Linked DNA regions of Arabidopsis thaliana. The protein of the gene in region 1 interacts with the protein of each later gene in a pairwise test. Each region holds a gene or a part of one and is shown on either strand. Other genes may lie near its edges. The genes, in order: PRA1.B2, RAB8 and ATFP8.

Region 1 (3,673 bases):
TAACTAGGTTCACATTTTTGTTGTCGATTTGTCAAACCTTCTCGTTACAAGTGGGATAATCTTCTTTACACAAGAGGATTTGTCTATTTATCTTCATGTTTAATGGTTAGTAACTTAGTACCTAAGTGTTGTTTTTATCTCACATTCTCACCAATAATTAGAATCCAGGAAAAGATTTCACAAGACATTCTTAACATTAAAACCAAAGAAAAAAGATTTCACAAGACACAACTCATTCCACGAAAATATATCTCATGTTATGAAGATTAAAAACAGGTCACCTATATTATATCTAAGAAAGAAGCAACTCAGTGAGACTTTGACCGAAAAAGACAATTCAGGTGACCGAATCTTCAGTTTGTTTTTGGCAGCCGAGTTTTTAAGACAAAATCCCCAAACTAAACGTGTGTCGTTTTTGTCAAATTGGCCAAACATGTAAATCCAGTGGGAAACTTTCCCATGATATAACCCTCTTACTATCAGCAAATTCGTACACAGTATTGGCTGTTCGCTTTCGAGATAGAGGAAACTTGTGGAAGAATAAAATAGTTGGTAGCTAGAGAGACATAGACATAACTAGTTACAAGATTTACATCTACCACGTATGTTGTTAAACTACATGTTGTTTGTTTAATCCTTAATACTTTGGTCAAACTATAATCTTCACTGGTTTAGTCTAAATCTAACTCAAACATATGGTGATGAAGGCAAAGAGTATCAAATTGATTTAAGGTAAATGAGATCTTACAATACTTGAGAAGGATCAGCTCCAAATTTTCTAAATTGTGACGAAATTGAAGAATACAACACAACAATGCATCTTTAGATCTAACACTTACAGATCTTCATCGAATCTATACTCAAAACATAACTAAAAACCCTGAGAATCCAGGTTTCGTTTGTTCTCTAGGATCAGAATCATCAAATTCGAGCTTCTCAAACTCGTCCTGCAACAACAGAAGCAGCAGCAGAAGTAGCAGCAGAATTACCAATGAACGAGAGTAAACCAGCATTAGCAGGCTCTTGTTCATCCAAGAACAAATCATCAGGAACCCTAAACGCACCATGTAAGCAAACAATCGCGATTCCAATCGTTAACGCCGATGTTAACAAAGATCCAACACTCGTCATAAACACAACCACAATCGTAGTCAAAACAAGACCAAGCAAAGTCTCACGATCTGAGAAACTACGACCAAAGAGAACCAAAGGCTGATCTGAAGATCGGAAGAGGTAGAGAAACATCCAGGAGCCTAAGAGAGAGAGGAGGACGAGAAGCGAGAATGGATGCGAGAGGAGGGAGAAAGCAAGGACTAACGAGACAATTGCGGAGTAATTGACTTTGAAGTAAGCGAGATTCTTACGGATCCGGGAGAAGGAATCGGTGAGAGAGTCAGGTCTAGCGAAGGAGCTCCGATCTACGAGTTCTAGCCATGGACGGCGTTGAGAGAGGCTTTCGCGGAGAGAGGACGAGAGGCGTGAGAGGAAAGTACGGAAGGCGTGAGAATTGATTGGAGGTTGAGATTGAGTGGCTGCTTGCTGGTTGGTGACGGGAAGAATCGCCGGAGAAGAAGACATTATTGGTGGTGTCGGTGAGTCTGTGCGCGGCGGAGAGAGTGTGAATTTGTTGTTCCGATTTTAGTGGAAACTGAAGTTGCGGCAAAACCGTGTTAGATATTCTAAAGGCCTAAATTTTATGGGCCTATAATGTTTTGGAATAGGCCCAATATATTAAGTTGGAGTTAATAGCAATTTTTAGATGGGTCTATAATGTTGGAAGAGGCCCAATATATTCCACTATTGGTTCATAAAACCATTTTTTTTTTTTCAACAAACAAACAATCTTACTGGTTCAGTGGTTTGTATCTATATGATGTTACAAGGATAACACAACACAAACTAGTAAATTAGTGTAGTTAATAATATTCTAATTTTATTTGCAGATAAATTACGACTTCCTACAATTGTTTATATGATCATTTCAATAATTATCATCTCATTTCCCACCCTATGAGTGTTCTCGTTGAACAAATGAAACAATCATATGATCAATTGATCATGAATGATAAAGGTTTACTAAATATATCTATAAACTGTGAAATTAAATTATATACAAATTATGTACACTTGAAGCTAAACAAATTATGAATTATATACAAATACAAATTATATACATAAATAAATATGAATTATGAGTTATATATGAATTATGGTGTCTTGAGACACCAGGAACTTGGGGCAAAGACAACTGGAGGGAACTCGAGAGCATTTTTAAAGACGCCTATGCAACCGGTGGTGGAGACTACATGAAGAAGGGGGTGCAAGCGATAAAAGATGAGTTTGACATGATTGGGACAATCAAAATGAGATAATGAAAACAAATGGAGGTTTGCGGAACTTGTTCATGTTGAGATGACCGAGATAAATGAGGTTGACGAGAATAACAAGAAGGTAAAGGTAACATGTAGTTACTTTCTCAAATTCGTGGATGGAAACAATAAGATATTCTCACTCAGCCTAGGCAATGTTGAACTCAAACGTTGCACTATCAATTAGTGAACTCCAAATCTACACTATCAATAATGTGTTCTTGTTTTGCTTCGTCTAGCCAATTTATTTGGCATAAACACTTGGTGTTTTAATTTGGTTTTTCTAAAATTCTACTGTTGCTTTATCTAAAACTCTACTTGAGTTTTGTTTTGTTTGGTGTTTGCGTTTGCTTTTTGGAGTGTTTTCTTTTGAACTTTTGCTCAAGTGATTGATTGCTTTTTGGAGTGTTTATCATCGAGTCGTTAGTTATGTAGCCACTATTAATTAGTCGTTTGAAAAGTAGATGAAAATTAAGACTTGAGGAAATCAAACACAATCCATAATTTGAATTCACCCCGAAGATAATGATCAGCTGCTATTGTAATCGTCAGGCTTCAAGTGTATATAATTTATATTTGTATATAATTCATAATTCGTATTTATTTATTTATGTATAATTATTTGAACACACTCCATAATTCGTATTCGTATTTATGTATATACAAACACACTCCATAATTCGTATTTATTTATGTATCAAACATATAATTAGTAAACTAAATAAAGACGAAGAAACATTATTGAGTAGAATAGAGGCATCGAATAACAATATTCGTCGGCCTAATCAAGAATATTTCTTGGAAATTCGGGTTGAAATCCACATATGGAAGAATCTTGAATAGCACGTACTTTATCAATTTAATTACATCCCTCTTAACGGTCTAGCTACTCTAATTATCATCTAAACCTTTTTCCTTGTACGTTATCTCATAATTTGCAGGACTCTTAATCATTATCACATTTCAAATTTTCAATATTTTACTAAAGAGACGTCTCGTGTTCGTGCGTAGCTCTATATTTTCTGGTTTACGTAAAATAGTTCATGATTTTGTTTAGCTTACCTTTTGAAAAAAATAAGCGAATCTTTCTTCCTTTACTTTTCTTCCACTCATTAAAATGTTCTCTCTATATATAAATGATAAATCTAGTCTTCTAATCATATACTCTCTATACCACACATATCTAGAACAACAACTAGATATTCAATATTAGCTCTAATGGCTTCTTGTGACACACCTGATGCGTTTGCTTGGCTTCAAACTCTTCCTCCTCTTTCTCTATGGAAAGGAAATTTAATGTCCAT
Region 2 (3,757 bases), on another chromosome or scaffold:
ACAAATCCGATTGAAAGAACATTTCGAAATCCGTACCTGAACAAATCGACAAATCTGAAATCTCCCGAGATAAAGTGTCGTCGAATGAAGAAGAAACGCAAGCACAGATCTCAAGAAGGATAACCCAAAGGAGAGAGAGAGAGAAGCAAGTGTAGAGAGAAAAGCTAAAGGAGAAGAAAGCTGTGACTAAACGCGTTCCCGCTCTATGTCTCTGCTTCTGTGCTATTTGAAGACTCCATTTTTTAGTTTAGAAAGAATATTAATATTTTTCTGGAAGGAAAACAATAAATTAAATTCTCTTTAATTTTGGAATATGTCCGGACCCGAAAGTGTCAATGTGGCAAGATTTTATTGGATGATGGAAAAAGAGACATAGACGGAATTCCTAACGGCGGTGGGGTCAACGTAAGGTTTGGCTGTCTGATACACGTTAAAGTGACTCGGATTGCGAGGAGTCCACGTTAAGTCTCCGTTAGCTACTGTTAATTTGGGGAATATGCTGGAGAGAGTTGAGATCAGGTGTTGGCGAGTGCACCGAAAATTCGTGTTCAGATTTATGACATCGCAATTTCTCTGTCGGTGGATTACAAACTGCAATCAAAAGAAAAGCATATGTTAATCTGTCAAGTGAATATTCGTTTTTATTTTCTTTCTATACATAATGTATATGGATAATTCAAACAAAAAGATGTGTAAAATGATAAATATGGGTGTTTATCGTATTTTATATAGTATTAGGATTCATGCAAAAATGCATGGATTGTCTATGATAGTAATTTTGGTAACTATTATTTTTTTATTTTTTTTATTTTTTTTTTCAGCTGGTAACTATTAAATTAGTAGAATTTAAAATAATTTATACTTTTAGGATTCCTATGATAGTATAGGATTTCTATACTATTTTGATATTAGGAGTTTAAAATAAATTACTAACTTATTATTATTTTAAATTATTAGATTTATACTTTTAAAAGTATTAGATATTATATGGATTTTTGTTGTTTACAGCTCTTTTTTTTTTTGGTATTTGAACTCGTATTATAATCGGTTACTGGCATTGATTGATACAAGTCACCAATTACCATCACCGTAAGCACCGTTTTATGATTAATTTTTATGATAAATATACACGTGCATTTCAAATAATTACCATTTTCATATCGGAAGGTTTTGGATAATCTTTCTGACTTTTTGTATGGTAAGAGTTTAATGAGATTGGGATAAAATTGGATAAACATGAATCTCATTGTAAATTGGAGTTAAAAGCATTAATAAGACGATCACATTAACGTAATAATTGCAGTCTACATTCAAAACAAATCTGAGAATGTATGCTTTAACTTTTTCCTTTAATGTCAATGGAATCACTCTTCGTATCCATTTAGAAAAGGAAACTAGATCGTATAATTTAGGAAAGGCTTACGTCGTGTCGTGTCATTCCCTAATTTTTTTGGATAATAGTTAGATATCGGAAATAATTGGATAAATTTGGATTAACATAGAACTAAATAGTGTAAGAGTAAAAAAAAAACATTAAATAAGACAGTATAGGGGCTTAAACTTTTTTGTTACCTCAAGGACGATATTTTAAGTAAAGTTAGCTTTCCTTTAATGTCAATGGAAACACTCTTCGTATCCATTTAGAAAAGGAAATGGATCGTGTAATTTTAGGAAAGGCTTTCGTCGTGGCATTACCTCATTGGTCGTGAAGAAGTGAAGATGTGGACTTGTCCGCAGCGGATGATCGGTGGATGGGGTTGAGTAAACGAATGCTCATGCAGTACATTAGATGCTACGTAGGATCATTGTAGATTCCTATCCACGCTTTATTCTTTGGATGATTATTTGCTTAACACCGACGACAATATATTCAAATTTCCTCAATTTGTCAATCGCTCTCTTTTTGCCTAACTCTTATTATTATTATTATTATTTTGCCTAACCTTTGCGTCCCCTTGGAGTTAAATAATTGAGTTTATTTACAAGTGAAGGGATTGAAACAACTTTTTTTTTCCCAGAGCTTAATCGCAACGCAACTCAGAACGAAATATAGAAAAATACATATACTGTATGAATATACTTCATCAATTCTGTAACCTGTTGGGTTGGATCAGTAAGAATAAACTAAACATTTAGTGGACACCAAATCATAAATTTAGCACACAAAAATAAAACTAGCCCAAGGCCCATGGTTCGAAATTTATCAAACCGTAACCGAAGACCACGCGCCGGACCAACACAGATCTCCACGAACAAGATCCAACGGTCCAGATCCATTCCCTCTCCTTCTCCCTCTTCTCTCTAACCAAAAAAAAAAAAAAAACTTCTGAATCTCCGAAAAAAGCCAATCGGGGGAAGAAAAAAATTCAACGGCCGTCTGGTTACTGTCTTGCTTGCTTCCGACGATCTATCTTCCCCGAGTAGATTTGGTACTTCCTTCTTTCGATTTTTAGGTTCTACACAATTGATTCTCGATTTAAATTTTGTCTCCAGTTTTTGCTCTCTTTGCTTACCAGTGATCCGTTTCTCGGAAATTACTTGATTTTGTTAAGAAATGGCTGCTCCTCCTGCTAGAGCTCGTGCTGATTACGATTACCTCATTAAACTTCTGCTGATCGGAGACAGCGGTAGGTTTCTATATCATTCAGATCGTAATACTACCTTTTGTTCCCTGCATTTTATTCAATCTCTATCTTTTTGTTGATTGATTCTCTCGATTTTTGTTGTTGTTGATTACAATTTAAGTTTTGTTTGAAGGATCTTGAGACAACAGTGATTTGAGTAACACATCTTACTCAGATTTGGATCTCATTTCAACAATTGTGAGCATATGATGTTCATAGTCTTCTTAGTTTGGTATTAGGATGGAGGAGAATCACAAATGAATGCTGTAGCTATTTAATTATATTCTCTAGATGTTAATGCCGCAAATGCTTTAGCCAAATTGATTTGAATATTCCTTTGTTGATTGTTGTAAGTAAGTGTTTCACTATGTTCCAGTGGATTATTCTAATGTCTCTGTTTTATCTGACTTTTGCTTTCTTTCATGTACCAGGTGTTGGTAAGAGTTGCCTTCTCTTACGTTTCTCAGATGGCTCGTTTACCACCAGTTTCATTACAACTATTGGGTATGATGTCTTCATGCAATGACACTGTGTTATCACGTCCTCTATGTAGTTCACTGTTCTTACTCAAGTTGCTTTTTGTTTTTGACAGGATTGATTTTAAGATACGGACTATTGAGCTCGATGGGAAGAGAATTAAGCTGCAAATCTGGGATACTGCCGGACAGGAGCGGTTCCGCACAATCACAACTGGTGTGTTTTCGATCTTGCTTTTCGTTTTCTCTTTTTGCTGTTATTTATGCATCTTTGCCTTCCTCGCTGGAATACACCTGAGTAGTTTGTTCTTATTGCAGCGTACTACCGTGGAGCCATGGGGATTTTGCTTGTGTATGATGTGACTGATGAATCATCTTTCAACAGTAAGTACTCTCTTTACTTTTTACTTGCAGTCCTTATGCCACCCAACAAGCTCTTGCAACGGTTCTAAACTTTATATTTTTCCATTTGCTAGCTTTATTATTTTCTACTCAACTAATTTGTTCTTTTTCATCCTTTGTTTTCTTCAATTCCAGACATCAGGAATTGGATCCGTAACATTGAGCAGCATGCTTCTGATAGTGTCAACAAGATTCTAGTTGGGAACAAAGCAGATATGGATGAAAGCAAAAGAGTCTCTTCTTTTACCCTCCCTC
Region 3 (3,757 bases), on another chromosome or scaffold:
ATATTTAGATCCGAGTATGTTTTTTGACGCATCACTTTGGCATATCATTTCTTTATCCACCCCCATTTAGATTCTATTAAAGGAATCTCCAATGGCTGAAACTTCAGAGATGGTAAAACTAAGTTTTGAGACTTTTGATACCTGAAGATGTTTGTCTACCTCCACAAAAAAGTTTGGATTTGTCTTTCGCACATTTTCTTAAATACGGTTTCACTATTATAATGATATAAATTGATAGGCCTTGGTGAAATAAATCACTAAAAATATTGTAATAATTAACATATACTGTACTATGTTTTCGAGTATTATTTAGATTTGCAACGCACAAAAAGAAATTAGTTGATAACTTAATCTAGTCTTCTGAATCTTCTCGGTTAATGTCATCGAGGATTACAATGAGAGAAACTATAAAAGCAAAGTCAACATTCGGATAGACAGTAACCGAAAAATTACTCTTCCCAATTAATATGCTTTGTGCCGTATGTTTCTTGTGCATCTGAAAAAAACAACAAAACAACAACAATGACTCAATTAACACGATCATATAACTAGCTAGTCCGGTTTATACAATTTACAGACAATTTGATCAGTGTAATTACCTGAGCAACAATGGCATCAGATTTGCCGGCGTAGACGACACAAGACCGGTCGATCCAACTTCCTTTAACATGGAAGTCGCAAATCTTCATTTCTTTATTATGAGCCAAAAAGATGTCTAGTTTTGGCTTCATTATTTGAATCATTGAAGATCGTTTCAATGTGTATAATAGATCACTTTGGTCTGTACTCTTCCCTCTATATACTAGCCACCTATCATGCAAGCTCACCTTCTACAATTTTTATGTTATAAGAAAAAAAAGTTGTGGATCAGATTTTATTGGATGATCTATGACGATTTAACATACTCGAATGAGTGATGATGATTTTGATATTATTTACAATTAGTTGATAGACGTATTGAAAAAGTGTACCTCCATGCAAGTTATAAGAGCATGTTTGTGTATATATGATTTGCATAATGAAATTTTTTTTTTGTATCACCATGAAAAAATTGTGCCTCTCCATGCAAGTTATAAAGAATTGTAGTTGATAGACGTATACTTACATTTTCTCTCAAAGTCAAGATTGGAGTATCGTATGCGTCCAATAAAATCCTTTTGTCGCTGATGCTAAACAAAGGTTCCTTGACTTTGAAAAGGAGATTGCCGTTAACGTCCGTGACGGCGAAGTTACCATCGGTTAAAGTCATCACCTTCCGTACGATTCCCAACTCGATAGGGTACGGTGCACAGAAATTAGGGCTAACGATCGCCATCTTTTTGAAGATCTCTCTCTGTTTTTTTTTTCTCTTTTACGATTCTTGTATAAGGTGGAGATTTGTGTTCGTTTCTCAATCTTTTTAGTTATTTATAATTAGGATATTCCAAGTATTGTGTGAAACAAATCTTCGTGTTTTTAATTTTGTGTTTTTGGCTATATATGTTTTGTTTATTTTTAGAACTTATCTTATTTTAAATCTGCTAGCCAAGTTGCAAGCTGCAAACACGTTAGCGTTACTACACTTTTTTTTTTTGGTTATATAAAAAAAAATAGTTTGATGGAAAAAAAATATTATAAATTGAGGAAATATCTTCTTTTTTGCCAGAAAAGGAAATTAGAAGAAACGTAAAATTAGAAGGTAACTTTTGGTAGGATTAATATGACTTAATTAAAAATGATATGAATGGAGTATGAAAAAGAGAATGATTTTGTTGATAAAATATACTGTCATATAAAATTGGAAAATCCATGCATATTCAATCAAAGTTTTTCTTTTCTTTTTCAATATACCTTTTTAATCCGCTTTAAATACTTCATTATATTTAATTCCTCACATCTTGATCACGGATTATAAATCAAATTTATGTAAAATTATCTTCTCTAAAAAAATAAAAATAAAAATTGAGACATATACATGAGTAATAAAATCCAAACCTTTAATAACAGGGCCAGGACGTTAACGACGGTTAAGTTAGATAGACAAGATTTTGAGCTCGGCCCATTTATCAAAAAGCCCAAATAAGAAGACACACACACGTAAAGAAATCAGTGAGACAAGGTCAAAGCTTCTTTATTGTCTCGGGAAAAACAACAAGGAATTAAACAAATATTAAAAAAACTGGGAACAAAAAAATCCAGTAGAAGTCGTGGGGTTCAATGTTCATGTAAATTGATTGACACGCCCCCTAAACCCAAACCTCTCTTTTTTTTTGTTTCTTATATTATAGAGAAAAAGAGCTTTTTCCCGGAAAGTTGTTCTCATCTTGGAAAATCAAATCTCGGAAACGCAGTCTTCAGCTAAATCATGAGCAACGAGTAGTAAGTGTTTCTCTCCTCCTTGAGAGCCATTCTTTCGTTTTCGATTTTACTCACACCGATTTCGATTTTTTGTTGTTGTAGCGATTATCTGTTCAAGCTTTTGTTGATCGGTGACTCCTCTGTTGGAAAATCGTGTCTTCTTCTCCGATTCGCTGTGAGTTTGACTTGATTTTGATTCTTAATTGATTCCGTCGTCGAGAATTAGCTCGTGTTAGGTTTCTTCTTTTGTACTGTTTCGTGATTTTGGGATTTGTTGCTATTTCTAGGATGATGCTTACATTGACAGCTACATAAGCACCATTGGTGTTGACTTCGTAAGTTCATTCTTTGACCTTGTTTACATACATGATCGAGATTGTTTTATCCCAAACTTACTTATAATGTGGTTGGTTTTGCAGAAAATTAGGACGATTGAGCAGGATGGGAAGACGATTAAGCTGCAAATTGTGAGTTTTCAATTATATAATATGTTTTGGATGATTGTGTTTACTCAATTTTACTGTTGCTGCTCTCTTTTAGTGGGATACTGCTGGACAGGAGCGTTTCAGGACCATCACTAGCAGCTATTACAGAGGAGCTCATGGAATCATTGTGAGCAATCTTTATATTCGCTTTCTTACTTGCTTTTTTTTGGCTTACCTAGACTAGTGTTATGTCCCTATTTCCATTTCTCATTTTAAGTGGTTTAGTCTGAGATTGGTATTGTAATGTTGGAATATGAATCATTTTAATGTTGTAATCCACCCTTTAAGTGATGAACCTTAATGATGATAATTGCAACAGATTGTTTATGACTGTACTGAGATGGAAAGCTTCAACAATGTGAAGCAGTGGTTGAGTGAGATCGATAGATATGCCAATGAGAGTGTTTGCAAGCTTTTAATCGGTAACAAGAATGATATGGTTGAAAGCAAAGTTGTTTCCACCGAAACTGGAAGGGTAAGCTCACATCCCTAGTTAAGTTCCCAGCAATTTTTCCATTTATGATTTTGCTTCTATCTTATGCATAACATCCTTTGCATGGTACTTTCCCCTTTCCTCATTTGATCATTTCATGGTTTCGCATATCTTTAACCATGTGATGATATTACAACCATTGAGATTGTTATACCAGAATTTACGGCTATGAATGTAGATGATCTCTGACCAAATTCCCAAAGCTAGATGATCTGAATCCACCGAGTAGAAATTGCTTATTTTTGCAGCAGCTGTTACTCCTGATACAACTGTGAATTGGTTTTCTTACATTTCATCTACTCAAAATCACTGCAGGCCTTAGCAGATGAGCTTGGAATTCCCTTTCTTGAGACCAGTGCCAAGGATTCTATTAACGTTGAACAGGCATTCTTAACTATTGCTGGCGAGATAAAAAAGAAGTATGTTCACTATCTTTAATCTT

Evidence for each region.
Region 2: the proteins of PRA1.B2 (region 1) and RAB8 interact in a two-hybrid assay, tested with the Arabidopsis thaliana proteins (one large-scale study listed by BioGRID).
Region 3: the proteins of PRA1.B2 (region 1) and ATFP8 interact in a two-hybrid assay, tested with the Arabidopsis thaliana proteins (one large-scale study listed by BioGRID).

The regions. Positions count from the first base shown.
Region 1 is NC_003071.7:16,863,798-16,867,470, forward strand, and holds PRA1.B2 (prenylated RAB acceptor 1.B2), read right to left. Parts: upstream 1,791-3,673; 5' UTR 1,579-1,790; coding exon 937-1,578; 3' UTR 649-936; downstream 1-648. Other genes in the region: AT2G40390 (neuronal PAS domain protein), read left to right, coding at 3,588-3,673. UniProt on the Arabidopsis thaliana protein: May be involved in both secretory and endocytic intracellular trafficking in the endosomal/prevacuolar compartments.
Region 2 is NC_003074.8:19,877,062-19,880,818, reverse strand, and holds the start of RAB8 (RAB GTPase homolog 8), read left to right. Parts: upstream 1-2,026; 5' UTR 2,027-2,124; coding exon of another isoform or gene 2,125-2,277; 5' UTR 2,278-2,429; exon of another isoform or gene 2,430-2,552; 5' UTR 2,553-2,554; coding exon 2,555-2,627; intron 2,628-3,055; coding exon 3,056-3,128; intron 3,129-3,216; coding exon 3,217-3,317; intron 3,318-3,418; coding exon 3,419-3,484; intron 3,485-3,637; coding exon 3,638-3,735; intron 3,736-3,757. Other genes in the region: AT3G53611 (uncharacterized protein), read right to left, coding at 2,125-2,277. UniProt on the Arabidopsis thaliana protein: Involved in membrane trafficking from the Golgi to the plasma membrane.
Region 3 is NC_003074.8:3,709,985-3,713,741, reverse strand, and holds the start of ATFP8 (Ras-related small GTP-binding family protein), read left to right. Parts: upstream 1-2,124; 5' UTR 2,125-2,344; coding exon 2,345-2,358; intron 2,359-2,439; coding exon 2,440-2,512; intron 2,513-2,624; coding exon 2,625-2,672; intron 2,673-2,756; coding exon 2,757-2,804; intron 2,805-2,877; coding exon 2,878-2,949; intron 2,950-3,141; coding exon 3,142-3,297; intron 3,298-3,630; coding exon 3,631-3,734; intron 3,735-3,757. Other genes in the region: AT3G11740 (LURP-one-like protein (DUF567)), read right to left, coding at 353-496, 600-830, 1,106-1,315. UniProt on the Arabidopsis thaliana protein: Protein transport. Regulator of membrane traffic from the Golgi apparatus towards the endoplasmic reticulum (ER).